4 linked regions of the Diceros bicornis minor genome follow. The protein of the gene in region 4 interacts with the protein of the main gene of each other region in a pairwise test. Links are inferred from orthologs where the notes say so. Each region holds a gene or a part of one and is shown on either strand. Other genes may lie near its edges. The genes, in order: MEAF6, BAZ2B, PSME3 and FXR2.

The links.
Region 1: the proteins of FXR2 (region 4) and MEAF6 interact in binary tests that used the Homo sapiens proteins (3 or more experiments, as listed by UniProt). The two-hybrid records come from large-scale screens. The link is inferred for Diceros bicornis minor from reciprocal best matches to the Homo sapiens genes FXR2 and MEAF6.
Region 2: the proteins of FXR2 (region 4) and BAZ2B interact in binary tests that used the Homo sapiens proteins (3 or more experiments, as listed by UniProt). The two-hybrid records come from large-scale screens. The link is inferred for Diceros bicornis minor from reciprocal best matches to the Homo sapiens genes FXR2 and BAZ2B.
Region 3: the proteins of FXR2 (region 4) and PSME3 interact in a two-hybrid assay, tested with the Homo sapiens proteins (2 studies listed by BioGRID and IntAct). The link is inferred for Diceros bicornis minor from reciprocal best matches to the Homo sapiens genes FXR2 and PSME3.

The regions. Positions count from the first base shown.
Region 1 is NC_080752.1:51,572,133-51,579,946, forward strand, and holds the start of MEAF6 (chromatin modification-related protein MEAF6), read right to left. Parts: upstream 3,017-7,814; 5' UTR 2,987-3,016; coding exon 2,897-2,986; intron 1,742-2,896; coding exon 1,626-1,741; intron 1-1,625.
Region 2 is NC_080749.1:42,355,662-42,363,433, forward strand, and holds the start of BAZ2B (bromodomain adjacent to zinc finger domain protein 2B), read right to left. Parts: upstream 3,014-7,772; 5' UTR 2,919-3,013; intron 1,545-2,918; 5' UTR 1,340-1,544; intron 1-1,339. UniProt on the Homo sapiens protein: Regulatory subunit of the ATP-dependent BRF-1 and BRF-5 ISWI chromatin remodeling complexes, which form ordered nucleosome arrays on chromatin and facilitate access to DNA during DNA-templated processes such as DNA replication, transcription, and repair.
Region 3 is NC_080757.1:41,839,917-41,847,751, reverse strand, and holds the start of PSME3 (proteasome activator complex subunit 3), read right to left. Parts: upstream 3,006-7,835; 5' UTR 2,580-3,005; coding exon 2,505-2,579; intron 2,403-2,504; coding exon 2,370-2,402; intron 2,250-2,369; coding exon 2,187-2,249; intron 1,988-2,186; coding exon 1,883-1,987; intron 969-1,882; coding exon 920-968; intron 1-919. UniProt on the Homo sapiens protein: Subunit of the 11S REG-gamma (also called PA28-gamma) proteasome regulator, a doughnut-shaped homoheptamer which associates with the proteasome. 11S REG-gamma activates the trypsin-like catalytic subunit of the proteasome but inhibits the chymotrypsin-like and postglutamyl-preferring (PGPH) subunits.
Region 4 is NC_080757.1:10,725,623-10,732,672, forward strand, and holds the start of FXR2 (RNA-binding protein FXR2), read left to right. Parts: upstream 1-4,045; 5' UTR 4,046-4,373; coding exon 4,374-4,454; intron 4,455-7,050. UniProt on the Homo sapiens protein: mRNA-binding protein that acts as a regulator of mRNAs translation and/or stability, and which is required for adult hippocampal neurogenesis. Specifically binds to AU-rich elements (AREs) in the 3'-UTR of target mRNAs.

The sequences.
Region 1 (7,814 bases), on a different chromosome or scaffold from region 4:
GGAACTGGAACATTCCACAAGACAACCTCATAAACAACTTCACCACCAAAAAAGTGGGAGACTCTCCAAAATTAAGAAACTAAAGAGACGTAACAGCAAAATGCAATGCACGGATGCTACGTGGATCAAAACAAGGTAGCAAAGCATTTTGGGGACAATTAGGGAAATCTGAATAAAGACTGTGTATTAGATGATGCTATTAATTTAGTGATAATTTTCTAAGCACGATAACTGTGGTTAGGTAAGAAAAATGTTCTTATTCTTAGGAGGTAATAGCTGGCATAATCAGGGGCAAAGTGTTATGATATATCTGCTTTTAACCTTTAAATGGTTTAGCAAAAAAAAAAAGTATGGGGAGGGCCGGCCTCGTGGCTTAGCGGTTAAGTGCGCGCACTCTGCTACTGGCCGCCCAGGTTCAGATCCCGGGCGCGCACCGACGCACCGCTTCTCCGGCCATGCTGAGGCCACATCCCACATACAGCACCTAGAAGGATGTGCAACTATGACGTACAACTATCTACTGGGGCTTTGGGGGGGAAAAAAAAAAGTATGGGGAAAGGGGTGATATAACCACAAAGAGGCAGCCTGAGGGAGATCCTTGTGGTGATGGAACAATTCTGTATCTTGTTTTGTTTTTTTATTTATTTTTCCCCCAAAGCCCCAGTAGATAGTTGTATGTCATAGTTTCACATCCTTCTAGTTGCTGTATGTGGGACGCGGCCCCAGCATGGCCAGAGAAGCGGCGTGTCGGTGCGTGCCCGGGATCCGAACCCAGGCCACCAGCAGCAGAGCGCGCGCACCCAACTGCTAAGCCACGGGGCCAGCCCCAATTCTGTATCTTGATTGCAGAGGTGGTTACAGGCATCTACACACATGATAAAATGACAGAACTACATATACACATTGTATCGATGTCAATTTCCTGGTTTTGATAGTGCACTAGAGTTACATAAAACCCAACCATTGGGGAAAACTGGGTGAAGGGTACATGAGACCTCCCTGTACTGTTTTTGCAACTTCCTACGTATCTATAATTATTTCAAAATTTTTTTAACAAGTTAAGTATAGATAGATGTGTGTGTTTACATATATTATAGAGAGAGGAAGAGAAAAGAAAGAGAGAAAGCAAATGTGGCAACAAGTTAACAAGTGGTGAATGCTGGTGAAGGGTAACAAGTGTTCATGCACTATGCTTTCAATTTTTCCATAGATTTGAAAAATTTCAAAAAGTTCAGACAGTTTTCAAAAATAATATTACTAAATAAATAGTAGTACAGTTGGCACACAGGTATGGCAAATATCGTGAGGGCGGAGCTCATGACTGATTAAAATGTGGAAAATACTAACAAGAGAGCTGCTGTGTAAAGTATTATATGCTGTACTTCATTTAAGCCTCACACAACCCTGTGCCATAGGCTGGACTTTCTACTTTAGTGATGTAGGATTTGTCCGGAATTACTCAGTGAAGCAATGGCTGAGCCAGAGTCCAAGTTCAAGCCCAGATCTCTTTCCCCACCACCACTTTATTACTGCCTCCCTGCAAACTTGCCACCAAGAATACATATATCCTTAAAAACAAATACTACTAGGGTACAACACAAACACTGCAGGCTTCTGACACTCACTTTTGGTTGGTCAGATACCGATCCCAGCCACGAATAATGTTGCCATACATCTGAGTGTCCTCCAGGTAGCTCCCTTCAAACGCATAGATCTGTCTCTCCAAGTTTGCCAGTGTTTCCTGAGAGATGAAAAACAAGGAAAATGGATAATGCCTTTGAAACGCAAACGTTAAGTCTGATCAAACTGAAAACTCAAGCTCAACTACACTAAACCACCCTGGTAGAAAGACGGATCATATGGGGAGGGGCACGCTGCTTCAGACTAAGCCAGTCTAGACCTGTCTTGTTGGATCCCTTTGAGAATAGAATGGAATAGACAGAGCGCGTCCCCAGAAAAATATACACGCGTGCAAAATTGTCCATATATTTCAGAGGGTTCATAGAAACCTAGCTGTCAAGAACCCCGGCTGAGGCAGAACGTGAGCGGTCGCCACTCCCACGCATAAAAGGTACCGCTACCGGGGAGAAGGAAGGCTGCGCAGCCTCCTGCGCCAACTCGCTCCCCTCCCGGAAGGCTCAGAGAGGCCGCCTGCGCTAGGCTGCCAGTTGCTATGGAAACCTGGAAGGGCAGCTTCAGGTGAGATGGGCCTCCCGCTGCCCAAGCCAAAACGCCATGGGGAGGGAGGGCTTAGCCATCAGGGTGCATGGGACCCTGGCTGCATGTCACAATTCATAATTCCCTAGACTGAGCCCGTTCCCCTCGCCTGTCACTTTCTAGATGTTCCCAAACACATCACATCTGCCCATCAAAAACCCCATCCAACGGATCTACTCCTAGTTCCCAAAAGGACATGCGCCCCTCCATCCTCCAAAGGCCAGACTGGATAACAAGGTGCCCCTCCCATACCCGCCCTGGTGCTACCCCACCCGCCCCAAAGCCCACCGGCAAGCCCGAACCAATCTCCTACAGCCCACCGACACGCCCGCCCCAACCCCCAAAGATCGCGGACCCGCCCGCTTTCCCCCAGCCCGCAGAGCTCACGGACACTCGCCTTTCCAGGCTCCCACGCACAAGCCCCCACTCCCAGGCGCATCGTGCCTCCACGCCCCCGCCCGCCCGGCCCCCTCCCCGGCTCCGCGCCCCGCCCCCGGCCCCGGCCCCGGCCCCCGCTCCGCACGGCCGCGACGCCGAGGCGCCGGCGGGCCGCGGAATGCGCAGCCCGGCCTCGGCCACCGGACTCCCGGGGTAACGGCCTGGCGCGGCGGGGCTGGGGCCCGGAGGCGCGCGCGGGCGCGGGGCACCCACCCGGGCGCCCCGAGTGCCAGCCCCTCACCGCCAGCTCCTGCTTCCGCTTCACGAGCTCCGCCAGCTCCCGCCGGGTGTCCGGGATCTGCGGCGGCGCCGCCTTGTTGTGCATCGCCATGTTGGGCTGAGGCGGGCGGCGGCGGCGCCAGCTGGGGGCGGTCCCTGCGCGCCGCCGCCCGCCAGGGGGCGCCTGCGCCGCACTGCGCCTGCGCGCCCGGCTTCCGGAGCCGCGCGCCGCGCTCTCGGCCTCGGGCTCTCGCGCGCCTCGCCTCGGGCGTTAGCGCTCTGCTCCTGGTCGTAGCCGTGTTTCTCCCCTGGCTGGACGTCTGGGCTTTACGGACGCCACGAATTCACCGTGTCCAAAACTAACCTCCTCCTAAGTCGCCTCAGTGAACGACTTGCACTGTCCACCCAATTGCCCAAGTCAGAAACCTGAGTATCATGCTCATTCTCCTTCACCCCCTTAATCCCATGCAAAACCAAATCCTGTGGACTCGACTCCAGAAGAGCCCGCAAATCCGTTTGCTTTTGTCTGCCACCTCCCTCGTTCATCCAGGCCCTCCCTACTGTTGGCTACATTATTCCAACAGCCTCCTGTTTCCACCGTTAGCTCTATTTAGTCCATTATCCACAGTGGTGCCAGAGGATTTGTTTGTGGAAAACAAACGTGGTGTCTCTCCCCTGGTTAAAATCTTTCAATGGCTTCCCATTGCCCTTTCGAGAGACAAGTATGTGCAGCGGTTAAGGACGCAAACTGGAGCCGAAACTACCGTATTCAAAATCCTGCCTCTACCGTTGATCAGCTGTGCCGCCTAGGGCAGGCAGCTAAATTTCATTGTCCCAACTTCCTCATCTATAAAACATAGGTAGTAATGGTACCTACCAAATAAAATTGCTGTGAGGAGTAAATCGCTTAATGTAGGGGCTTGGCAAGTAATAGGGACTACGTATAAGTATTAGCATTTATCTTTAAGCCCAGCATCCTTAACTTTGTTTTCACTTGGCCCCTGCTTCTTCCCCAGCTCTCTCTATTTTTCAGGGTTCTGCAATTTCACTATCGCGAATGGGATTTTTTTTTTTCATTTTTTTTTTTCTTCCTCGCTTGGATATCTTTCAGTTTCTGAAATCTGTGGATTGATATCTTTCACCAGTTCTGGGAAATTCTCAGCTATTTTTCTTCAGATATGCCTCTGCCTCATTTTCTCTCTCCTTCTGGAACTCAGATTAAACATAATAATCCTGTATGTATGTATGTATTTTTGAGGAAGATTAGCCCTGAGCTAATACCTGTTCCCAATCCTCCTCTTTTTGCTGAGGAAGATTGGCCCTGGGCTAATATCCCGGCTGGGCCGCCCAAGCAGAGCACGTGAACTTAACCTCTACGCCACCAGGCTCCCCCTAATCCTTTATTTTTTTGCCTACTGTCTTTTTTCCATCCTTTTTGTCTCTCTGATGCATTCTGGATAATTACTTTTGTGTGTTGATCTTGTAACCTGGGATCTTGCTGAACTCCCTTATTAATCTAGGAGGGTTTTTTGTAGATTCCTTGGGATTTTTTACATAGACAGTTGTTTCAACTGCAAATAGGAAGTTTTATTTTTTTCTTTCTAATCTGTATGCTTTTTATTTCCTTTCTTTGCCTTCCTATGCTGGCTAGGACTTCCAGTTCTATGTTGAATAAGAGCAGTTGGAGTGGACATCCTTGACTTGTTCCCTATTTTAGGAGGAAAGTATTCAGTCTTTTACCATTAAGTATGATGTTAACTGTAGGGTTTTTGTAGATGCTCTTTATCAAGTTGAGGAAGTTTTCCTTTATTCCTGGTTTACTGACAGTTTCTATCATGAATGCGTATTGAATTTTGTCAAATGCTTTTTCTGCATCAATTAACATGATCATGATTTTTTGTCTCTACTCTCTTGATATGATGGATTACATACATTCGTTTCCAACTGTTGAACCAGCCTTGCATATCTGGAATAAACCCTACTTGGCCATGTTGTGTAATTATTTTTATCTATTGCTGGATTCAATTTGCTAATATTTTATCGAGAATTTTTGTGGCTAAGTTCATGGGATGTTGGTCTGTAGTTTTCTTTAAGTTAGGAGGTGTTCCCTGCTTTTCTGATTTCTGAAAGAGATGGTACAGAATGGTGCTAATTCTTGAAATGTTTGGTAGAATTCTTCAGTGAAACCACCGTCTGGGCCTAGATATTTCTTTTTGGAAGCTTTTAATTACACATTCAATTTCTTAAATAGTTATAGGACTATTCAGATGATCTACTTCATATCAGGTGTATTTTGGTATTTTATGGTTTTGAGAAATTGTTTGATTTCATCTAAGTTGTTAAATTTACGTGCCTGAATAATTTCTTTTGACATATCTTCCAGTTCACTAATTTTCCCTGAAGCTTCTGTTAAAGCCATCCATTGATGGGTTTACAGTTATTGTGTTTTTCATTTCTAAAAGTTTTTGTGTGTGTGTGTGTGAGGAGGATCAGCCCTGAGCTAACATCCATGCTAATCCTCCTCTTTTTTTGCTGAGGAAGACCGGCTCTGAGCTAACATCTATTGCCAATCCTCCTCCTTTTTTTTTCCCCAAAGCCCCAGTAGATAGTTGTATGTCATAGTTGCACATCCTTCTAGTTGTTGTATGTGGGACGCGGCCTCAGCGTGGCCGGATAAGCAGTGCTTCGGTGCACGCCCAGGATCGAACCTGGGCCGCCAGTAGTGGAGTGCGCGCACTTAACTGCTAATCCATGGAGCCGGCCCTCTAAAAGTTTTAGTTGGTCTTTTATTTTTTTATTTTTTTTCTGTTAAAATGATTTAATATTTTGTAAATGATACAAAATTTCTTCTTTTCAATTAATGAGCTATTTTCTTTTTTTTTTAATTTTTTGTTTATTGCAGTAACATTGGTTTATAACATTGTATAAATTTCAGGTGTACATCATTATACTTCTATTTCTGCATAGATTACATTATGTTCACCATCCAAATACTAATTACAACCCATCACCACACACATGTGCTGAATTATCCCTTTTGCCCTCCTCCCTCCCCCCTTCCCCTCTGGTAACCACCAATCCAATCTCTGTCTCTGTTTGTTTGTTTGTTTATTGTTGTTATCATCTACTACTTAGTGAAGGAAATCATACGGTATTTGACCTTCTCCCTCTGACTTATTTCACTTTGCATAATACCCTCAATGTCCATCCATGTTGTCACAAATGGCTGGATTTCATCGTTTCTTATGGCTGAGTAGTATTCCATTGTGTATATATACCACAGCTTCTTAATCCATTCGTCCCTTGATGGGCACTTAGGTTGCTTCCAAGTCTTGGCTATTGTGAATAACGCTGCAATGAACACAGGGGTGCATGTATCTTTACGCATTGGTGTTTTCAAGTTCTTTGGGTAAATACCCAGCAGTGGAATAGCTGGATCATTTGGTAGTTCTATCCTTGATTTTTTGAGGAATCTCCATACTGTTTTCCATAGTGGCTGCACCAGTTTGCACTCCCACCAGCAGTGTGTGAGAGTTCCCTTCTCTCCACATCCTCTCCAACACATGTTGTTTCCTGTCTTGTTAGTTATAGCCATTCTGACGGGCATGAGGTGATATCTCATTGTAGTTTTGATTTGCATTTCCCTGATAGTTAATGATTTTGAACATCTTTTCATGTGTCTGTTGGCCATCTGTATATCTTCTTTGGAGAAATGTCTGTTCAGGTCTTTTGCCCATTTTTTTAATTGAGTTGTTAGTTTTTTTGTTGTCGAGATGCATGAGTTCTTTATATATTTTGGAGATTAACCCCTTATCAGATGTATGGTTTGCAAATATCTTCTCCCAATTGTTAGGTTGTCTTTTCGTTTTGTTGATGGTTTCCTTTGCTGTGCAGAAGCTTTTTAGTTTGATGTAGTCCCATTTGTTTGTTTTTTCTATTGTTTCTCTTGCCCGGTCAGACATGGTGCTTGAAAATATGTTGCTAAGACCGACGTCGAAGAGCATACTGCCTATGTTTTCTTCTAGAAGTTTCATAGTTTCAGGTCTTACATTCAAGTCTTTAATCCATTTGGAGTTAATTTTTGTGTACAGTGTAAGGTAAGGGTCTACTTTCATTTTTTTGCATATGGCTATCCAGTTTTCCCAACACCATTTGTTGAAGTAGTTGGTCTTCTAAATAACTTCCTTTTCATTTGTTGCCATTTCTTGTTCCCTGTGGGTATTTTAAAATTTATCATTTATTTCTTTGAAAATAGGAACCACAGGGCCAGCCCTGAGGCAGTTAAGTGCGCGTGCTCTGCTGCTGGCGGCCCCGGTTCCGATCGGGCTCGCACCGACTTATGACTTGTCAGGCCATGCTGTGGCGGCATCCCACAAAAAGTGGAGGAAGATCGGCACAGATGTTAGCTCAGGGCCAGTCTTCCTCAGCAAAAAGAGGAAGATTTGGCATGGATGTTAGCTCAGGGCTGATCTTCCTCACCAAAAAAAAAAAAGAAAGAAAATAGGAACCATGAACATTTTATAGTATCTTCTAATGCAAGTATCTGAAGTCTTTGAGAATCAGTTTCTGTTATCTTATTTCTGTTGGTTCTCAGCTAGAAGTGCCTTTTCTTTCTTTTTTTTAAATTTTATTTATTTATTTTCCCCCAAAGCCCCAGTAGATAGTTGTATGTCATAGCTGCACATCCTTCTAGTTGCTGTATGTGGGACGCGGCCTCAGCATGGCCGGAGAAGCGGTGCGTCGGTGCACGCCCGGGATCCGAACCGGGGCCGCCAGCAGGGGAGCGCACACTTAACCACTAAGCCACGGGGTTGGCCCTAGAAGTGCCTTTTCTTTGCAGAAAAAAATGTGGCAATAACTGGAGGGGAGATAAAAAGTCCCTTCCTCCAAAGAGCAATTTCATTTATTTCTGTCAGACACCAGGAGGCACTAATAGTACA
Region 2 (7,772 bases), on a different chromosome or scaffold from region 4:
GCTGCTAAGACTGATGTCGAAGAGCGTACTGCCTATGTTTTCTTCTAAGAATTTTATGGTTTCAGGTCTTACCTTCAAGTCTTTAATCCATTTTGAGTTAACTTTTGTGTATGGTGTAAGATAATGGTCTACTTTCATTCTTTTGCATGTGGCTGTCCAGTTTTGCCCACATCATTTATTGAAGAGACTGTCCTTTCTTGGATCCCTTTGGATCCCCTTGGATCCTATTCTTGGATCCCTTGTTGAAAATTAGCTGTCCAAAGATGTGTGGGTTTATTGCTAGGCTCTCGATTCTGTTCCATTGATCCATGTGTCTGTTTTTGTCCCAGTACCATGCTGTTTTGATTACTATAGCTTTGTAGTATATTTTGAAATCAGGGATTCTGATGCCTCCAGCTTTGTTCTTTTTTCTCAGGAAAGAGTCCCACTTGAGAAGAAATTGGTATCCTTTGTTTTCAACTCAGGGACCTCCCTATAAGCACTCTTATTTCATCCCAGGTATTACCTCCTGTTCCCCAAAAGTTTAAGAAATAACCTACTTTTGAAAATGATTTGATTTAGAAAAAAAAAGCAAACATAACCACACTTTTTCAAGACCACACCATTTATGCAAAGTGCAGAATATCTGTAAGATTGCCCTTGCCATCAAGAAGCTTCTTAGAAGGTTAGGTTGTGGGATGATAAAAAGCGGGGAAAACAGAAACTTTAAAATTCAATATGTGACAGCGAATTCTAAGCTATCAAGTAGTTGAAGAAATACTTAAGCATAAGAGTAAAGGGCTGTTATGACCAGGGTTAAATGACAGACAAATTATAATAATAGTAAGTAAGACTCTAATTTACAGAAGAAGTCAAGTTCAAAAATGGAAACTAATGTGAGTGGTGTGGGCAAGTGGTGAACTAAGATATTTAGATACCAAAGGTGTGTCACAGTTGGTCATAAAGATAAAAAGTTCAGCAAAGGAAGGTCAAGTGAGGGAACTCTGCAAAAAAGGCAATCATGGAATCTAGATTGGTCAGAACAGTTCCGATTTCAAATACTTTGCCTGTCAAATGATTTTGTCCTGATTTTTAGTTCAGAAAATACAGTCGCTATTGTACCTATTTGTACCTACAATTCCTAACAAATAGTCTTTAACATAGGAAAATCTCAATAATTATTTATTGATAGTTAATTACCTGGAAACTCAAATCAGAGAAAGTACATTAAAAAACAACAACTAACCATTCTTAAAAAAGAAAAACATACTTATCAGTGGTCTTTACATTTTCACTAGCATCAATAAGAAACTAGAGTCTGGAAGGTTTGTTTAGTATAGGAAATTGGTGCCACACTCACCTCTGATGATGTCATCAGTGCTGGGTGAGGATGAAGTCGTAATCTGCCAAAATCCCAACCATCCTTGCCAGGTTTGGGGGTTCTGTAGAGAAGTTATCACTACCAGGTCTGACTGCCATAGCTCAGGAAAATGGTGTAGTCATTCCTCTTAGCATAGAATATACTTCAGAAGAAGATGTTTAGGGGATCTATGTAATATGAAGTCCTAGAAAGGCAATATTAGTGGTGGTTTAGACATAGAATGTAATAGCTAACAATTATGGAATGCTTACTACATTTCAGGAACTAATGTATTATCTCCTTTAATCCTTTCCACAACACTATGGGGTATAGGTATTGTTATTAACCCCATTTTACAGGAAACCTAGGTTTAACAAGATTAAGGAATTGCTCAAGACCAGAAATGTAGTAAGAAGCAGGGCTGGGATTTGAACTCATGTAGTCTGGTGCTTCAGAATGTGTATATCCATAACGATAATGCTACAGGTATACTCAAACAGGCTGGAAAAAAATTATTTTTATAAAAAGGACAAATTAATTTCCTCAAAAGTAATCTGTGTTCACTTTATCCCATACTAGATGCTTAATCTTCAACTCATATCCTAAAAAGTTAAACTTTAAATAATAATAATCAAACTTTAAATCCTTAAAAACCTATAATGTTTTACAATTTATAATAATGAAGCACGGACAGTCTGTTAGTATCCAAGACAGAGGGAAATGAGGATGATAGTGAAAGTACATTCCCTTCAAATGAAATGACAAAGAAATACATATAAACCTTATACTTCATTTATTAGAATCATTTGGAGCCAATAAATTGCTTGAAACAACCTAATAAAATACGTCACTTTAAAAATCAAGTGCCATCAGTATGCCTCCAAGTTTCAATAACTTATCTTCACCGGTAAAGAACTTTTATGTCTGATATATTACTCAAAATCCACATATCACCTAAATCCACATAAATTGTGGCGTTTTTCTCTAACCTACTGCCTTTTATTTATTAGTACTCATTTACATCTTAGTCTACCACATTTACACTTTTTTGGAAGTTTCGTCTAATTTTCACCAGACCATTTTCGTCCCTCTTTCTAAATGGATGAATTTTTACTGCAAAATCTGTAGCTACACTGTCAAAGATTAGTATCAAGATTATAAAAGACATGACTGTAAAAGTACACCACCACCAAGACTGAATTACCACAAGCAACGAAAGGTCCCGGACAAATTGGCTCCTAGCCTTAAGGGGAGGGCTTTGCAGACATCAAATAGGCGGGCAGGCAGTGCTTGATTCAAGTCAATAAACATTCACTGCGCCACTTACCAAGCGCAAAAAAAGAACAGAAAAAAAGAGCCGGGCAGTATTTCGGGCAGTGGGCCCTGCAGGCTTGCCGGAGGGGGCAAGAGCAGGTGGCGGGGACTCGGGTGCCGGGGAGCGGCAGGGCTGGCTCAGAGCCCCTCGCCAGTCAGGCGACGGCGGCCAACCAGGGCCGGGCCTCCAGCGCCCCGTTCCCGGCGCCCGCACACTCGCCGGCCCAGCCGCCAGCCCGCCGGCCGACCAGCCACAGCCGCTTACCGGTGGCGCCTCGCTGCCTCCCCGGGGCCAGCCCTTCAACGGTTGCCGCAGTCAGAGCACCACCAGGCGGTGGGGTACGTCGAGCCCGCCCGCAGCTCTCGGAATCCCCGCAGCGCTGCCACTCTCGCGAGAAGCCGGCGGAGTCCGCGAAGTAGGGGGAGGAGGAGAAGGGAGGGGCATTTAGCGTTGGCGGCTTGTTCTGCGCCGGATACGGGAGAGGGCCGGGCGCCATTGTGCTTTCCTGCCGCTTGCTCTGCCTCAGTTAGAGGCCTAGAACTCCGAGGAGGTGCCCGGCGGTGTGGTCGCTGCGAGCGGGACGCTCCCTGTTCGATGCCATCTCGGGAGCGGCGGTAGTAAGCTGCGGAGATCGGGTTTCTGCCTCTCGGGGAGGTGGTTCTAGTGAAGGCCGCGGGTGGGGGAGGGGAGGAGACGAAGTGCCGGCCTGGGGACGCGGAGGCCGCCTCCTTCCTCTCAAGGTGGGGTGGAGGAACTTGATCCGGGACCACGGGTTCGAAGGGGAGCTGGGCGCAGGCCCGCTCTGCCGGTGGCCTTTCGTCCCGTGGTGGAGTTTGTGATGGGTGGAGGGGGCAGATTGCGTGTCCTTATGGACGTGTGGTGGGCGAGGGCAAGGGGCTTGAGCCCTGATTTGGTCTCTGGCCTCCTCTTCGACCGGGGTTAAGGAGGTTCCTCCGGAGCCCTGCGGGCCTCGAGTGTCACGAGCGTGGTATTTAGAGAGCGCGGTGTTGAAGGAGCGTGGTATTTAGAGAGCGCGGTGTTGAAGGCAGGGAGGGCTAGGGCTCCGCCAACCCAGCCTCGACTCGAAGGGGCTTTGGCAGCCTCTTCGATGGGGCGAAGATTGGCTTGTTGATCGTTCCAGTTCTTGAATATCGTGATACTTCGGAGTCCTCTTGAATTGAAGTAAATTATCTGTTCTTCAAATTGAAATAGGTGGTGATATGTGTAAAAAAACGGACCTGTTGGCATAAGAAGTAAAAATATGGAAGGCACCAGTAGTAACATATTCCCTCATTTTGATGAAACTGCGTAGTGAAGATGAACGTGTACAAGTACACAGAAAAATCCTGCGATTAATACTTTTTTCTTACGTACAGATGTAAATATTAGTATATGGGGAAAATCTCTGTCTTGCTCATAAATTCTTCACGACTGGTGTTGTTTGGCACTATTAAGAGTAAATGTGCCAACTGAAATTGAATTTAGTAAGATTTTCTTTTCGATTTTTAGGACTTTTTAGGGGTTTTTCTATTTTCATTGTTTTAAATCTTCCCTTTTTATTACTCATATCTCTCCGTTTCTGTCTAGAACTAAGAGGTAAGGTTAAAGATGAAATTTCGATTTAAAAATCGAACGATATACTGTTAAGGCAGGCGTGTAGTGTAACTAGATTTCTTTCGTGGGTAAAAATTTTGTTACAGGAATGGGGTCAGTATTTTGTTTACAGCTCTACAGCATTTTATGAAACAGCAGTGGTGTATGAGGATTAAAGTCAGAAGATCTGGGTTTAAGTCTTGATTTTGCCGTAATTATTTAACCTCTTTAAATTTCCTTAGAAATGTAGTAGTTAATTCCTAGAGTTGAGGTGAGGATTAAATTAGGTGAGGCAGTGTGTAGCAGTAACACGCTGGGGGACATAATACTTGCAGAGTGAATTTTTAATGGATATTAAACAATTGGAATTGATACATAAAATCCAGTTATTTATATTTAGGCATTCTGATCAGAATAACCTTAAAATTTAATCAGCCTGTAATATATCCCCCATAGTGCTGCTTCTCATGCATAATAATGTTAATATAAGTTCTAGACTACAAATGTTTTTAGATAAGAACTTTTTACAACTCTTTTTTTGCCCCAAATTATACCACAGATGTCAGTATGGTCGGTATGCATAGTCTTGGATTTTTTCCAAAGTTGCATGCTGGGTCAGATGTCTTGAATAAGAATGATTAAAAATTCCTACTTATTTAAGTAGAAGTGATTTCTCTTTCTACCATATTGGCAAGAGAGCTTATTTTCCCCAGATAAAGCACAAAGATGCCTGTATACAAACAAGCACATATATTCTACGTGAAGATGTCAGATAATCAGCTTGGACATTAAAAGTCATCCTTGGCTCTCCAATTTTTAATGGGCTCCATATATCTACTTCACACGACTCTTCATCTGGTATATGTTCAAGAGTTGCCTACATTTTAGTATTTTAGGAAAATAATTTTAATAGTGCAAAATCATCAAATAATGTAAAGCATTTTACATTACAAAAATATTTTACATTATTTGATAATTTTTATTTGTTGTATTCTGGCTACTAGATTAGGGCTTCACATTACAAGAATGCTTGACACAGCACCTGCCCTCTACAACTCACAATTTAGCTATCAGACTAATGTAAATAACTACTGCTATTACTTTAGTGTAAATGTATAGTAGTACTGTGGAAGCACAGAGGAGGGCTGTTTAATTTTGAGGGAAGTTTTTATAGGAAGTATTGCTTGAACTGAGAAGTGAAGGATGACTAGGAGTTTCATAAGGAAACTGCAAAGTCACGGTATCATGGTTGGTTTTAGGAATGGACAGTTTGTTCCCCATAGCTGAAACAATTGAATGGAAGGTTACAGCATGACATGAAAGACCTTTTGTACTGTTTTTTAAGAAAGTTAGTGCTCTGTGCTGTTGGGAATGGATAGCTATTGTGTTCCGTCAAATAAAAATGATTTTTAGATTATCTTTGCTGATACATCCTTATGTTACTATGGATAGTTAAATGCCAGTAAAGAACAGTGGGAAATGCATTAGTGAAATGTACAGGCTTGCGTCAAACCTCATTTTTAACCAACAAATTAAACTTAAGAACTAATGAACCTTTCAGCTGTTAAATAACTGAATGAACAACTTAGCATATTAGGATGATTACTATTTAAAGTAAGATTTTGAATTCCTACTGAGATCTACTTGAATTCATTAAGGCAAAATTCTATTACAGCAAAACAATGTATCTTCTCACAAACCATTATTTTACAAAAATTCTATCTTTGATGAAGTTGCTAATCATAACATGAACCCAAAAGAGGGGGATGACATAATTTGAGAGTTGGCTGGGGTTTAATTTTCATTGATCTTAATTTTTAACTTTTCTGCTCTGGTCTGAACTCGTGGTCAAAGCTGGTTTTTCTTGCTCTCAAATCTGTTTCTCTGTGGCTCTACTGGTTAGACTAGATAAGTTGAACACCTGGTTTTAAAAGCACCTACCGCTCTACACCCACTTTTGTCACCAGCTTTAAAAGAGGGCAAATTTTGAACCTTAAATGCTAGTTCTCGTCTTTCCATTATGATCCTTGCACTTACTGTAACGTGTTTCTCACTTTCTGGAAGAAAACTTGAAAATGATTTCCACTTAATGAAGATTGAAACTTGATACAGATTAGATAAACTTCAAAGGAGAAGATTATTTTATAAAGTACTCTAGTGTAGACTTAGTATCATAGCCATATTTTCTCATGGAGATGTTAAACTTTTTTCTAGTTATTATTTTTTAAGACTTGAGTATATCTTTGTTTCTTAAATATTTGTCAGCTAAAAATCAAGAGACTTTTTCTTTTTAAAAGACCCAAAAAGTTCTGTGCTTTTACAGTACTTTTCTCATGTGACTACCTTTAGTTTCTATGTCTCCATATTCACTATGATCATTAAAACACTAGGATTTCCCATTAAGAAAAAAAAAAATTTTCCCCCAGAAGCAGATTTTTTAAACAAAAAGATAAACCAAGTAGAAGTAAATAATGGAATTGTACCTATGTTTGTATTTCTGGAAAACTATTGGCTATCGAAATACATTGGTATTTTGTGTGATATCTCTGGCCTTCATGCCATGAATTTATTGGATGGTAATGTGCTTTTGTTAATTCAGTAACTGCAGCTACCCTGAATATATAAGACAAATTCTAAGTCAGACTCTCAAATAGAATCAGATTTTTCATAGAAACTGGGTACATAATAATTGTAGGAAAGTAAAAGGATAGGTTATGAAGCTCTACTCTATGGCTGCATTGCAAACCACCTCAAAACCTAGTGGATTAAAACTGTTTACTAATTTTTTACAGTTCTATGTGCCTGTTGGACAGTCTGCTGGTTTTGCCTGGGTTCACTCATGTACCAGCCTTCAGCTGGAGGGTTTCTCAGGCTGAAAGGTCCAAGGTGACAACACTCACATGTCTGGCAGTTGGTGTTGGTTAACGTTGAGGCTTTGCTCCATGTGGTCTTTATGACATGGGGGTCTCAAGACAGCATTCCAAGACAGTGAAAGTGGAAGCAGTAAGACTTCTTACAGCCTTGCAAATCATATAATGTCAGTTACACTGCATTCTCTTAGTCAGAGTAAGTCTCAGAAGGCTAGCCCACAGTGAAGGGACAGGAAAATAAGATTCCACCTCTTTTGTGCAGACCAGCAACATCACAATGCAGAGGGGTGTGCATACTTGAATGGGAAGCATTCGTAGCCATATTTGGTCATTTACCACAGGTTGCTTAGAACATTATCAGAAGAGGCATCCTTAAAGATGTCATGATTGGGATTTGCTTTCAGATAGAGGGTGGTAAAATAGACAGCAAGATAGGTCAAACGTTGATAATTGTTGGAGACTATTGCTTGGTACATAGGGGTTCATTATTGTCTCTACTTTTGAGTACCTTTGAAATTTTTCATTGTAAAAAAATTTTTTAAGGCATACTCAGGTAATCTAAACTCTATTCTGTGAAGTGATTTTAACCTTATTTTCCACTTAGTATTTACTAGAATAGCAGTAATTGTTTAATATTTACTACTTCCTTTGTGGT
Region 3 (7,835 bases), about 31 Mb from region 4:
CACAGCATCCCCCACCCTTCTCTCTTCTTCCCCAGACCTGTGAGATGCTATGACCTCTGCCTTTTTTTTTTTTTTTTTAATTTTTATTTTTTTCCCCCAAAGCCCCAGTAGATAGTTGTATGTCATAGATGCACATCCTTCTAGTTGCTGTACGTGGGACGTGGCCTCAGCATGGCCGGAGAAGCGGTGCGTCGGTGCGCGCCCGGGATCCGAACCCGGGCCGCCAGCAGCGGAGTGCACGCACTTAACGGCTAAGCCATGGGGCCGGCCCAAGATTTGTTATAAGTAGTCTTGTTTTTTTTTTTTTTGCTGAGAAAGACTGGCCCTGGGCTAACATCCGTGCCCATCTTCCTCCACTTTATATGGGATGCCACCACAGCATGGCTTGCCAAGCAGTGCGTCGGTGCACGCCCGGGATCCGAACCGGCGCACCCCAGGCCACTGCAGCAGAGTGCGCACACTTAACCGCTTGCGCCACCAAGCCGGCCCCTGACTTCTGCCTTTTATCTATCACAACCCTATCTACAAACCATGACACCACCACAGAATTAAAAACAGAGAATGTATGGATTAACAAATGAGTGTCCAAGGTATGCCAAAGGTCTGAAGAATAAGGAAATTAAAATATGCTCTAAAGATTTAATACACCAATCATTATTGAAGAGGAAAAAATAACATGGAATTGGAACTTCTGTGAAAGATCTGCAGTGTGTAGCCATCTCCAATCTCTCTCCCTTGGCAGTCCACACTAAATCAAATCCTTCTTGTTTATTGGAAAATTAGGTTTAGAGTGCTAAACAATGACCATGTTATGAGAACTTGGGAATGCTAACACTGGGAAATAAAATAAGATCCTGCTTCCTGGCCAGCAGAACACCAGATCCATCCTGCAAACTAGGGAGTAGGGGTTGGCTCTTACCTTGGAAGGCCTCTTCACATTCATCCAACCTTCGCTTCTTGTAAGTGGGCTAAGGATACAGAAAGACAGGAATTAGCCTGCTCTCAACATCCACGTCCCCATCACAAGTTACCTTTTAGCAAGTTTAATCCCTTCCTCAACCCCACAGGTTGTCTTATTAATTGACGCACAATTTACTAAGCACATACAAGGCTTTAAGAAAAGGTCCTTGCCACAAAGCAACTTACACTCTAGTAGGAAGACCAAGCTTTCAAGAAATATAACACAGTAAGCATATAGCGGAGGGGGTGGATACTATAAACAATAGGAAAAATGAACCATTCAATGCAGGGTGCGGATAATTAAGGGAATATGTACAAATCTGCTGGTTCCACAAAGAAACACAATATTCAGTTAACAAATGTATTGAGCATCTGCTATGTACCAGCAACAATGTTAGGTGCTGGGGATACTAAGATGATTAAGACAGTTTCTGCTTTCCACAATTACAAGTTCTATCAATGAGACAGTAATGCAGACAAAAGACAATACAGTGTCATCAGTGTTATAAGAAAATGTGGATATATAACTGATAAGGATTAGGTGCTGAAGATACACAGCAAAGACAGAGACTGCAGTTATATAGCAAGAACTACTCACCCCATAACAAGACTCCAGACATTGAAACAGGTAAGAAAAGTCTTACTTAGAGCCAGGGGGACAGACCAGATAACCTGAGGGAACCTGCAGCTATTAGTCCTATTTGAAACCCACTCTAACACGGAGTAGTATTAGCATATTCACCTCATGCTAGAAATGAAAGTCAGGGTGTAAAGGGGGTGTACTGTAGTCATCATGTCTCTAAAAGTCCTCGTTCTCAGATTCAAATCCCACTGTCCCCTCTGCACATGCTCAAACTGACCAGGAAATAGAGGACAGAGAACCTATTGCTTCAGGACACAAAGATAAATATAGGACGCTTACACCGTCCAGTCCATCGTGACTATTGGTGAGAAGAATGGGGTCAGGAACTGGGAGATTCATGTCTGAGTGGATCTGAGTTAGGTCATGGATGTTTAGGATTGGTTCCTGAAAGAGAGACACCCACCCCCAAAACAAACATTAGTCTTTTCAAGATGAACAAAGAAGTATTTCATTTGAAGGGCAAGAAATGAGAATGCTTTACAGTACAAAACAAAACAGAACCAACACATCATTTGTCCCATTTGACAGAAAGACCAGGGCCAAAAAAATTAGGGAATTTGAGGAAAAGAAAAGGGTCTCTCACCTTCAAAAAACTATCAAGTTCTAACAACTTCTTTGGGAAAAAGTTTGCCACCAAGTCTTCTGCCTAAAGATGAGGGGAAATACAGTTAAATTAATAATTGTGGGAAGGTCCCTCTCTGATATCTCTTCTTTTGGAAAGTCCCAACTATTAACCAACACTCATTTTTCTATTTATTTCACTCACCTCACTTGTGATCCGCTCCCTGAAAGAATCAACCTAAAATTAACAAAGAGAGCAATTCAATAAAAGCAAGTCAATACCTGGCAACAGAAGTAAGGGCTGGAGTGGGAAACCCAAATCCGGCTGTCTTTCCCTCACCTTGTAACTATAATTAGAAGCTGAAAGGCCCCCAGACTGCAAATACTTTATTTTTTTGAGGATCCATTTCTCCATCTCAGGAGAGGGAAGCAGGGCTTTGAAGGCAGCACCCACCTGTCTTCCCTCCCTCTCTCCCTGTGTCTGAATTTGAGAGCAGACAAAAGACAGGTAGCTAAGGGAGGTGTGACCTCACAAACGTGCCAACCCCCACCCAAACCTGGCCTACGATATCAGGCAGGCCTGACGCCAAGGGCAGGGGCAGCGTCTGGCGGCGGCGATGTTGCTAGGCTCGGGGACTTCCAGCTGTCACTAGTCTAGAGCACTGAGTCCACCACGTGTTCGCAGAGGTCTCCCCGGGGCTCTCCACCACCAAACGGGATACAGAAGACCACCCTATTTTATCCTCTCCACCGATGGCGTCTCCGGGAGTGGGGGGCTGGGCTGAGCAGAGCGGAAGCTCAGAGCTGGTGTCCCCAGGGAGATAAAGACTTCCCAGGGAGTGGGGAGGCGGTCAGACTGCTCGGCATCGAAGCGAGGGGTAAGGAGGCCCGGACCGGTGCCGCTACCTTGAGCTTCACTTCCTGATCCACCTTCAGCAACGAGGCCATGGCCGGGCCGGGCCGTGTCCGTTCCGCTGGAGACCGGAGGCGCTGTGGGCTCCGGGGACACGGTCAGAGGGACGGCAGGAATCTCGGCTGCTCTCGGGACGCGGCCGCCCTCGTTGGCTTCCTCACTGCTGACTCCGTTCCTCCGTGCCGCCCGCCCGCTGCCTGCTGGCTCTCTCGCTCGCCCTCCCGGCTTTCGCCGCTCACGCCGGAAGTTACGTCACAGCCAATCGCCGGGACTCCGGCGAGGATGCGCACGTGCCGTGCGCAGCCGCGCTGAGTTTCGGCTCCGGACGCTGTGGGCCCGGCTTATGTCTCCCTGGCTCTAGTTCCCAGGAGGAGTGAGGTAAGAGGGAGGGCGGCGGAGGGTGCTTTACTGAGAACTGAGCCTCACAGACTCGAGCGCTCGCCTTCACCGAGGGAACCTTTTGAGCCGCGGCCGCCTTGACAGTACCGACGACGCCGTCGCGCACCGGTGACGTCGGCCCGAGGAAGACGGCGGTCGCGGCGCTGGGTTCAGGGGGTCTAGTCTGCGATTCCTGCAGCCGCTTCCTGTTGGCCGAAACTCTAGTGTTAGGATAAAGCCAAACAGAAGACAAGTTGTATTGTACCAGACTTCCCCACCTTTTTCCGCCACTTATTCTCATACACTTCCAGACCTCAGAGATCAACTGCCTGATGGGCAGATTGACGCCCAGAGTTGGGTAGTGCTTGTCTAAGGCTACACAGTGTTTCCAGTAAATCCTGGACCAGAGCCCCAATCTCCTGACTTCGAGGACAATGCTGTATCCCTTTCCTAATGGAATGCAGAGACTATCTCTTCACTCACCCATTCATTGGGTCTGTCTCTTAACGTTGATTATTTCGCTTAATAAAATGGGCCAGGACCGTCCCGGAGTCTAGAAATATAATGTGAGTCACTTACGTAAGTTAAAATCATCTAGTAGCCACATTAAAAAATAAAACAGGTGAAATTTATTTTGATCATGTTTATAACCCAGTTTATCCAAATACTATCATTTCAACGTGTAATCAATATAAAAAATATTAATGAGATCTTGTGCGTTCTTTTCTCATATCATATCAAGTCTTTGAAATCTGGTATGAATTTTACACTTACTGCACATCTCAATTCAGAGGCATCACATTTGCAGTACTCTAGAGCCACATGTGGCTAGTGGCTCCTGTATTGAACAGCACAGCTCTGGGAAATCAAAGATGAAAAAGACTCAAATTGTCTGGTCTCATGGGTCTTAATACTGGAGAAAGGCACCAGAAAGTAAACCTTCAACATAATTGCAAAATTTGATAAATGTTAGGAAACAAATGACTGATGTAGAGAGTACTAGGAATCTATTTTAGATAGAATGGCCAAGGAAGTCCTCTCAATGAAGTTAAGCTGAAATCTAAAGGATATAAAAGAGCTAGCTTGGGAAGAGTGAGGGGAAGAGCCTTGGGAAGATGCAGCACAGGCAGATGCCCTGGGGAAGGAAACATGTCCTGTTGAAGAAGTTGAAAAACTGGTTAGTGAGCTAGGGCTGGGGGTGGGAGTGGGAATGGGGTGGGGAGGGTTGTTAGGAAATAACTTTGATTAAGTGCAAAGGCAGGTCATCTGATTTACATTTTGGGGTCACTCTTGTGGCTGAACACTTGTCCTGGGCAGGCCTCTGTGCTAAGAGCAAGGGATATGGTGGGAATACACAGTTAAATGAAGTGCGACTGACTATGGCCTTTGGAATCAGAGAGACCTGGCTTCAGATCCCACCTCAGCTTCTTATTGTGATATCTTGGAAAAATACTGAAATACTGAGTCTCAATTCCCTCATCTGTAAAATAGAATTTTAATCATTGTTAGTAAATAATATGTAATTCTGTAGCGTTGTTGTGACTACTGGAAATCATATATATGTAAAAGAACTAGCACAGTGCCTGGACACAAGGAAGGCACTAGATAAATAGTAGCCATTGTCGGATAAGCTACCTGTTAGTGCTTAGCATGAGGAGGTTACTCCTTAAACTACGTAATTATCATCATCCCTGCTTTCAAACTCAAAGCACTTTTCCACTTATTCAAGGCTGCATACAACATAGCCTATACTACCCATCTTGCTCATTAACGTGTAACGGTTTTCCCCCTTTTACCTCTGCTTTCTGTTAACATTGTCCCTAGTAACTTTTGAACTCTGATCTGGAACTTAACTTCAGGAATGCTTTCCCAAATTAACTTCATCCTATTTTAAGTATGCCATTATCCTTCATTTCTTTCAGAATTAGTAACTTCAACTTGAAAACTTAATGTGTTTGCGCTTGTTGAAATATGGCTTTGTTCTTAAATAATCATGTTTTGTCTCCCTCAAGTAAGTTGTAAGAAGACAGATACACATTCCTTCTTTATTTCTCTTCCTCCTCCCCATCCAAACATTTTATATAATACTCCACTCATTTGTTTATTTATTTATTCAGTGAACAATTGCTGAGGGCACCACTATATTTAATAAACTTTATTCATTCCAGGGTGCTTATGAATCAAAATGTGATCACTGATGACTAGTCTCATTTATTTATTTGTTTATTTTTTTGGTGAGGAAGATCAGCCTTGAGCTAGCATCCATTGCCAATCCTCCTGTTTTTGCTGAGGAAATTAGCCCTGAGCTAACATCTGTGCCAATATTCCTCTATTTTGTATATGGGATGAGGCCACAGCACGGCTTGATGAGCAGTGCGTAGGTCCGTGCCTGGGATCCAAACCTGTGCACCCTGGGCCACCCAAGTGGAGTGCACAAACTTAACTACTATGCCACCAGGCTGGCCCCATGGTCTCACTTTAAATGCATGTCCACAAATCTCAGATGGGTGCACAACGCTGCCTGGGAGCCTACTACATGTTCCTGACAAGTTTACTCTCCCAGATTCAAAATGACTATCATATGTTCTCATCTTCCTAAACCTCCAGTATCCCTCCCCTCTCACCTCTAGTTTATGGTCTTGGCTCATTCTTCATTGAGAAAACAGAAGTAAATGAGAACTTCATCTCGCCACCAAATCTGCTAGCTTGCAATTACTTTCTGCCTTTCGTCCTCTTTCATTGAAGGAAACATCTCTGTTCCCATCAAAACTCAACTCTTCCTTTTGTGCATTGGATCCCATCCCCTTTCACCTTCTAAAAGTCTGTGCTCCAGTGATTATCTATTCTCTTTACTATATTACATTTATCCCTGTCTACTGGATCATTTCCAAACATGACAGATATTTTCCATCTTGAGGAAAACCCACCCTTGAACCCAGGTTCCTCTCTAGCTATCGCTCCATGTTTGTGCTCTTCTTCATGGCAAGACTTCTTGAATGATATTGTCTCTTACTCTGTTCCTCATCTCCTGTTTACTTCAATCCACTCCAATCAGGCTTTCCCACCCCCTGTTCTCACTGAGGTAATTCTCGTTAGGTTACCAATGACTTCCATGTTGACAGCACCAGCGGTCAACTCTCTTCATCTTACTTGAACCTCTCAGTGGCACTCAACACGTTAACCATCCCTGTTCTTAAAACATACACAGCAACCTGTTCTTCCAATTTTCCTCTAACTTCAGTGGTGACTTCTCTGTTTCCTTTGCCGGCTCTTCCTCCATTGCTCCACTTCTTAATGATGGCATGCTCCAGGGCTCAGTCTTATGTCCTTTATTCTTCTCCACTTACACTTTCTTCCTAAGAGTTATCACCTGTGTTCATAGCTTTTAATACCGTCTGTATGCTGATGGCCTTAAATTGATATCTCCAGTCCTGACATCTTCACTGAGCTCTGTCTATTTGATATCTCTACTTACACAGTTAATAGGCCTCTCAAACATAACGTGGCCAAATCAGAATTCTTGATTCTGCTACACAGCTGTTATTTTCCTGCTCTGCCCCATCTCAGTTACCAATGCAACTGTCCACCGACTTGTTCAAACCAAACACATCAACCTTGATTCCTCTCTTTCCCTTATCTCCCCACGTTCAATCCATCAGCGGGTCCTGTCAGCTTTACCTGTATAATGAATCCCATATAAGTATGCTTTTCTCCATCTCCTCTCTTGGTATCCTAGTCAAAGCCACTGTCATCCTTCGCTAGGACTATTACAATAGACTCCTCTCTGGTCTCTCCCTTTTCACTCTTGCCACCCCCTACCTCCCCCCCACAGTCTAGTCTCTACTCAGCACCCAAGATTTAATTATCTTTTAATATGTCAACCACAAGAATGGCAGTATCTACTAAAGCCGAATAAATAGGGCCGGCCCTGTGGCTTAGTGGTTAAGTGCCCGCGCTCCGCTACTGGCGGCCTGGGTTCGGATCCCGGGCGCGCACTGACGCACCGCTTCTCCGGCCATGCTGAGGCCACGTCCTATATACAGCAACTAGAAGGATGTGCAGCTATGACATACAACTATCTACTGGGGCTTTGGGGGAAAAAAGTAAAATAAATAAAATAAAAAAAAAAGCTGAATAAATTATATGTGTATATATATATATATGTATGTATATATATCTGTGACCCAGAAATCCTGACTCTAGGAACAAATTTTTTTTTTTTTAATTTTATTTATTTATTTTTCCCCCTGCTTCTCACCCTCAATGGTTTCCCAGCTAACAGAGGCCCTCCTGAATCCCCCAGTTGAAGTAACTCCACCCACCCTTGCCCCTGCTTATTCTCTATCACATCACCATCTTTTATTTTCCTCATCATACGTA
Region 4 (7,050 bases):
CCGCCAGTAGCCGAGTGCGCGCACTTAACCACTAAGCCACGGGGCCAGCCCTCTCTGCATTTTTTTAAACATTCTGTTTTTGTTTCATAGATATATGTTCTTTTCTTCTCTTTTTGAGGATATTCATGATAGTTTTATTTAAAAATGCTTTTCTCCTTGCATAGTCTTTATTTCTTCTATGTTTTTTTTTCTTTCTCTATTTGTTTTGGCTTCTGTCTTTCGTTTTAGAGGCTTTCCTCAAATGTCTGGTAATCCTTAGTTGTCTGCTGATATTGAAGATTGGGACACTAAAATACTGATTGGAAACTGTGTGTGTATATGTGGGCGGTAGGGAGGCATGTTGACTATGGCCTCTCCTATAGGGTGATCCACTAGGCTATTTCCATGAGGAGCCTCTGATTTCAGTATCATTAGGTCTTTTTTCTTGTCTGATCAGATTTCCAGAAAAGGCTCTTCCAAACTCCTACTTGGAGGGTATAAACCTGGCTGTAGGTATTCTCAGAGCTGGGTGAAGGAGTCTGGGGGAAGTCTTAACATTCAGTATGTAAACTTTCACTTAATCCTCATTTTCAGTATCTATCTAACCATCCATCTATCAATCTATCCCTCTTTCTATCTTCCTCCCAATCTCTCTATTTAGAAGTCCTAAGGCAGGGCCGGCCCCGGGGGCACAAGCGGTTAAGTGCACAAGCTCCGGTGCTCTGCAGCGGCGGCCCGGGGTTCGCCGGTTCAGATGCCAGGTGCGCACAGACGCACTGCTTGTCAAGCCATGCTGTGGTGGCATCCCATATAAAGTAGAGGAAGATGGGCATGGATGTTAGCCCAGGGCCAGTCTTCCTCAGCAAAAAAAGAGGAGGATTGGCAGATGTTAGCTCAGGGCCGATCTTTCTCACAAAAAAATAAAAAGAAAGAACCAGAAGTCCTAAGGCAAGCTGGATCATTCTGTTACACATCCTTTATACTCCAGCTAGAATAATCTTACTAAAAGGCAAGTCTGCTGAAGATCCGGTAATGGCTCCCTCTGCTCTCAGCAGAAAGTCCAAACTTCTAAATATATTTAATCCCTCCAAGCTCTGGCCCAAACCAACCCTTCCAACCATGTTTCCTCTCCAAGTCGGTTCTAACTATGTTAGACTCTTTTCAGTACCTCAAATGCACTGTATTCTCCTCTCTGAGCTGTCTGCACATGCCATTCTCCTGTCTGAAATGCTGTTCCCCTTTTCCCACTCCCATCCTTTGCCTGAATCAAGAATGACCAGAGCAGATAAGGAAGAGGAAAAATCAAGCCTGAGAGGACTGTTGGTGCCAAAAGCTTGGAAGTTGGTGATGGGGCCATTTCTAAAACAAAATTCTGTCACCCCTACTGCTTGAGTCCAAACCCACACTCTTCAGTCTGACAGCCAGCACTCTTGATAATCTGCCCCACTTAAGTTCTCTAACTCTCCCTACTCCTTACCAGAATCACTGCTAATAGTCTCTTTACCTTTCTGTTACCCTACTTACTGCTGTTCCTTCTCAGGCGCCTGGAAGGCTCCTCTTCTTTTATCAGCCCTTCATATACTGGTGTAGTTGAGAGTTCCATCATGGACCCAATTCATTTCTCAGTCTACACTTTCCTTTAGAGATTTAATTTTCTCTTACAGCTTTAACTATGACTAACATGCTGATGATTCCCACATCCACCTCTCTAGCCCAGACCTCTCCTGGGCCACACGCCTGTGTGTCCATTGACCTGCAGGACACTGATTCCTTCATTCAGTTAATATTTGCCATTCCAGGAACTGTGCCAGGTCCTGGGTGTACAATGGTGGGGACAAACAGACATGGAACCCAGTCTCTGACCTCACAGAGCTTATAGTGTAATGGCAGAAGAAAGATGCTGGACAAATCATTAACATTACAACCATGATAAGTGCCACAAAGGAATATAGGATGCTTTGGCAGTGGGAGGTGGGAGGCCTAACCTAGTGTGGGCATAGTAGAAGGCTAAAGAAATTATATATATATTTTTTAATAATTTTATTTATTTATTTTTCCCCCCAAAGCCCCAGTAGATAGTTGTATGTCATAGCTGCACATCCTAGCTGCCGTATGTGGGACACGGCCTCAGCGTGGCCAGAGAAGCGGTGCGTCAGTGCACACCCAGGATCCGAACCCCGGCTGCCAGCAGCAGAGCGCGCACACTTAACTGCTAAGCCACGGGGCGGCCCGAGAAATTGAGACCTGAAAGAGAAGTTTGTTGAAGACAAAGGATCGTGTCCACCTGGATGGTGGATCCTCTGACTCAAAGAGGGAAACTAAAATCACTAAACTCATCAACTTCTCCTCCAAACCTTTGTCTCTTGTGTTCTCTCTTCCATGATTGGCATCACCATTCACTCAGTAACCCAAGGTAGAAATCTGAGAGTTGTCCCGTGTTCCTCCCTCTTCTTCATTGGCTCCTCACCCCCACCCCACCGAACCCTCATCACCAATTCTTGTTGATTCTACTGCAAATTTAACAGGTGTAAATCAACTTGTACCTCTGTTACCCTGAGCCCTAATCAAGGTAGATCCTCAGCATCTTTCTTACCTGCAAGGGCTCCTCACAGGTCTCACCCTTACTCTTTAATCTATTCTCCACAGTTGTAAAATGTAAATCTTATCCCATTATACTACTGCTTAAAACCTTTCAATGGCTCTCCGTTGTTGATAAAGTAAAAGCCATTCTCTTTAATCTGATTTGCAAGTCTTTCACAGTCTAGCTTCCTGCAGCTCCCTACTTCAAGCCAAATGCTATTTGAACTGGTTGTGGTTCCCCCGAAAGACATACTCTTTCTGCTCCTCTGCACCATTGTATTCCTTGTTCTCTCACGAATACTCTTACTGCACTTTTCCTCTAGCAAACTTCTATTCATCCCTCAAATCTCAATTTGCATCACCTCTGCTTGGCCTTCCCTGATCACTCCGAAGAACAACTGACCATTGTCTCCTTGGAATTTTCTCTATCCCTAATCCTTATCTCTATCATATCTTCAGTCAAACTCTATGCACTTATTTGTTAATTTATTTATTTAAACTTGTTTAATTGCCCCTTCCCCAATATATTATAAATTCCTTGAGATCAGGGACCACATCTTGGCTTTGTATCCCCAGCACTTAGCACAGTGATTGGAACACAGTGAAGGCTAAATAAATTTTTGCTAAATGACTAAATGCACAACACGTGATTCTAATTTCTGTGCTATTTTTATTCGCTTCTACCTAAATTTCTTCCTTAGTTCAAGAACCCGAAGTTTCCCCTCTACTATCCTTACTCCATAACGATTGTTCCTATTTTGAATTTCCTCAGCCTTTAGATATCACATTTTGTGCTGATCTAAGTTGCACTTGCTTTTCGGTACTGCTTTGAAATTATTTTTTAACCTTTCATTATATGCATGATCAGAATTTTCTCTAGGCAACAACGTGACTCAAATTTCCTATGGGAAGGAGTTACAGAAGCTCAAGAGTCGGTAGACGCCTATGGACAGTAAAGCTCAGGGCCTGCGCACCGGGCACCTTTTTTTGCCTTTCGACTCCTCTTCTTTTTTTTCTTTAGAGCGTGCGCACCAAGAAAGACAAAGGTGGGGCAAGTGACCAAGCAGTCATTTAGGCGCATGCCCATCCCTAACTTGTCCAAGCCTGGGGGAGTTCCCAGTGGTAAAGTGGCTGTGGTCTGACCAGGAGCTGCAGAAATCCAATCCAACTGAGTGAGCTCGGCTCCTCCCTCCCCACGATTGGTTAACTCTCAGTGTTGTGGGGCGGGGAAAGGAAGAGCTGGGGGCGGTGGAGTGGTGGTGGCGAAGAAAGGGGGCCAATCTCGTTCTGCGCAAGCGCAAGTAAGCGACCAGGAGGGGGCGTGCGAGAGTGAAACGGAGTTGTGGAAGCCCTGATGCGCTGGCGAGCACGAGCTGGGTCGCCAGTCTTGACGCCTGCGCCGTGAGCCTCGGGGCCTCGCGCGCGGCGGGCGGGTGCGCGGTGCGCCTGCGCAGTAGGCGGAGGCGGCAGGGGGAGGTGGAGGCCGTGGAGAGGCAGCGGCAGCCGCGGGTCCCGGGACTGAGGCAGCTGCGGGGCGGCGGCGGGCGGAAGCTGAGGTGACGAAGGCAGCGGCGGCGGCGGCCGTTTCCCTCACGGTGGCGGAGACCAAGGCGGCGGCGGCGGACGGGGAGCGGCCCGGCCCCGGCCCCCTGCTCGTTGGCTGTGGCAGGGCCGCCGTGGGGCCGGCCCGGCTCCCGCCCCCCGCGGCTCCCCCTCCGGCTCCTCCTCCGGGGAGACGCCGGGGCCCTGGCCCGGCCCGTGGTCAGACCGCTGCTGCAGCAGCCGCCGGGGGAGTCGGAGGAGGTGGCGGCGCCATGGGCGGCCTGGCCTCTGGGGGGGATGTGGAGCCGGGACTGCCCGTCGAGGTGCGCGGCTCCAACGGGGCCTTCTACAAGGTGAGGCGGCGCGCCGACCGGGGACACCCGTCTTTAGCCCCCTCCCTCCAGCCAGAGCAGGGAAGAGTGGGGCGGGATCGAGCTTCTGGAGCTAAGTCCTGACCCTTAGAACCTGAGACCCACACTTTCACCCGCAGCCCTCCTGGGGAGACCTCTGGAAGTTAACCCCCTACCTCTTGGTATTTCACCTGCTTTTACCTCCTTCTCAGAGACTGAACATCAGGTCATCATTGTGCTTAGATCAGTGTCGTCCGCCGCTCCGGCCCCCGTCGCCAAGAGACCCCATTTACCCAGCTTCCTATTGACTTTTCCTGTTTCCTAGTGGAAGACATACCTTAGACCTTAATCACATCTTCCCCACAGTCCAAGCACATGGAGAATTCTCTTTATTCTTCCCTATTAACCCCTTGGGAAGGCCGTCCCATATTAGATCCTTTCGTCTTCCTGGGAGAGGCCTCTTCCTACTGGCTCTGGAAGACTCACCCCACTTTCATCTTGTATTTCTGTTCCCAACCCAAGGAGAAACGGTCAAAATCCATTTATGACATTTGTTATCTTTGACCTCAGGAACTCTGGGTTGTACCATCAAGTTGCCTCCTTAGCCATAGGGTGGCATCTTTTCACAAGTCTCTCACCCCACCCCTTCATCCCAAGGCTAGCTGGTTTACCAGTCTACCCAGGGGTGGATTTGTATTTGTTGTCTCACTTTCACCTCAAATACATTTAGATCATTCATTTCGTTTCTAAATGAGTGTAAGCTTCGTATTCATGATCTCTAAAAGGGGATCTCATGAGGATTCCTTCTGTCTTAAGGATTTCCACTTCTAGAAGACTTTTGGCCAACTCTCCCAATTTGGGAATCTGATAGCCTTTTTTTGAAGAAGAAGGGGACTGTCTTTAAAAGATCCTTGTTTACTTAAGCTTGCCCATCACCCAGGATTTGGTTCCTTAGATTTCCTTTTCTAGGACATTTTTTAGGACATTTACATTTAGCCAGAGGGAGACCCCTCTTGCCTCTCAGGAATTTTTCTTTGTGTGACTGTTGTTATTTTGAACTGCTTTGGACTTTATGCCTGGAATTTTTGCAGACATTTCTGTCTTAGTCTTTCATTTTACCCTGAGGAGCAAGAGCTGAGATATCTTCTCATAACATCACTTGTGAGAAGAGCCCCGTTTTCCTTTACTTCCCCTCAAACCTATTCTCCCATAAAAGAGCTCTCTACCTTCATGCCCTTGGAAATGACTTTCTCCAGCTCCTTCCTTGTGAAGTTATATCTTACTGTAACTGGAAAGAGTCTCATATTTGCGCTTGTAGTGGAAGGTTTCTGCCCCAGCTTCAGTTGGTAAGTTCAGTGTAGGCATTTTTTTACCCACTCTAAGTGCCTATCCATTTCTGCCCTACTTCCCTCACCAGATTTTTTTATATTCAGTGCCTGAGGGTACCCACATCTGTCTATCTTAACTTATTCTCTGAATTTAAGTCTTTGGCTTTTTATCCTAGTATTTCTGTATTCCTCTGTAATCCCCAGGAACTATCTTACTCCGTGTCTCAAAGAAGCTCCCAGCTGATCCTCTTCTGTCATTTTTTCTGCATACTTTCCTAACTCATGGGACTTTTTCTTCTAGCCTGTCTCCATAGCATTTCTGTTTTCTTTGGCAGTCTCTAATTCCTTTCTGATTCTGACAGAGTACATTTGTCTCTTATATCCTTTTCCCCCAAACCAGCATTACCTTTGTTGAAATACCCTTCCTCATAAGATTTTAGCCCCAATTTTCCCATCTTGTCTTTCATCTGGGTCCTTCCCACTCGAAATTCTGGGTTCCAAGAAGAGTGATTCTTAAATTGAGTCTGAGATCAAGATATGATGTTTGCTTTTGTTCTAGGAAACGTGGGAGCCAAGTGCAGCTGGGAAAGATTGGTATCCACTTCAAATTAACTGGGAAGAATGGGCCGGCCCGGTGGTGTAGCGGTTAAGTGCGCGCGCTCCATGTCAGCGGCCCGGGGTTCGCAGGTTCAGATCCCAGGCGCGCACCGATGCACCGCTTGTCAAGCAATGCTGTGGCGGCGTCCCATATAAAGTAGAGGAAGATGGGAATGGATGTTAGCCCAGGGCCAATCTTCCTCAGCAAAAAGAGGAGGACTGGAATCGCATGTTAGCTCAGGGCTAGTCTTCCTCACAAAAAAAAGAAAACTGGGAAGGGAGATGTTTTCCTTTCCACATATGAGTGTCCAACAGAAAATCGCTCTCTGAATCTTTTTCTTTTCTCCTGTGGGCTGTGGCAATGATAGACTTGAGTGAATTGGGGACAGGATACTTTGAATCAGAGAGTAGAGTTTGGAGCTAAGCTGAAAGCTAGGTAATGTGGATTTTGTGTTCTGGCTACTTTAGCATTTTCTGCCCCATGCCTCGGTTAAAAACAATAGTAAATCTCTAAATTCAACTAATCTTTCTTCAACTTTCAGTGCCATATAGATACTTAGCTATTCTGACCTTGCTACTGATTTAATATTCATGACTCAGCAAATTTCAGTGTGGGTCAAGGAGTGTTTGTTTATATTGCTTCCAGAACTATAAATTTGGGAAGGTCCCTTTTA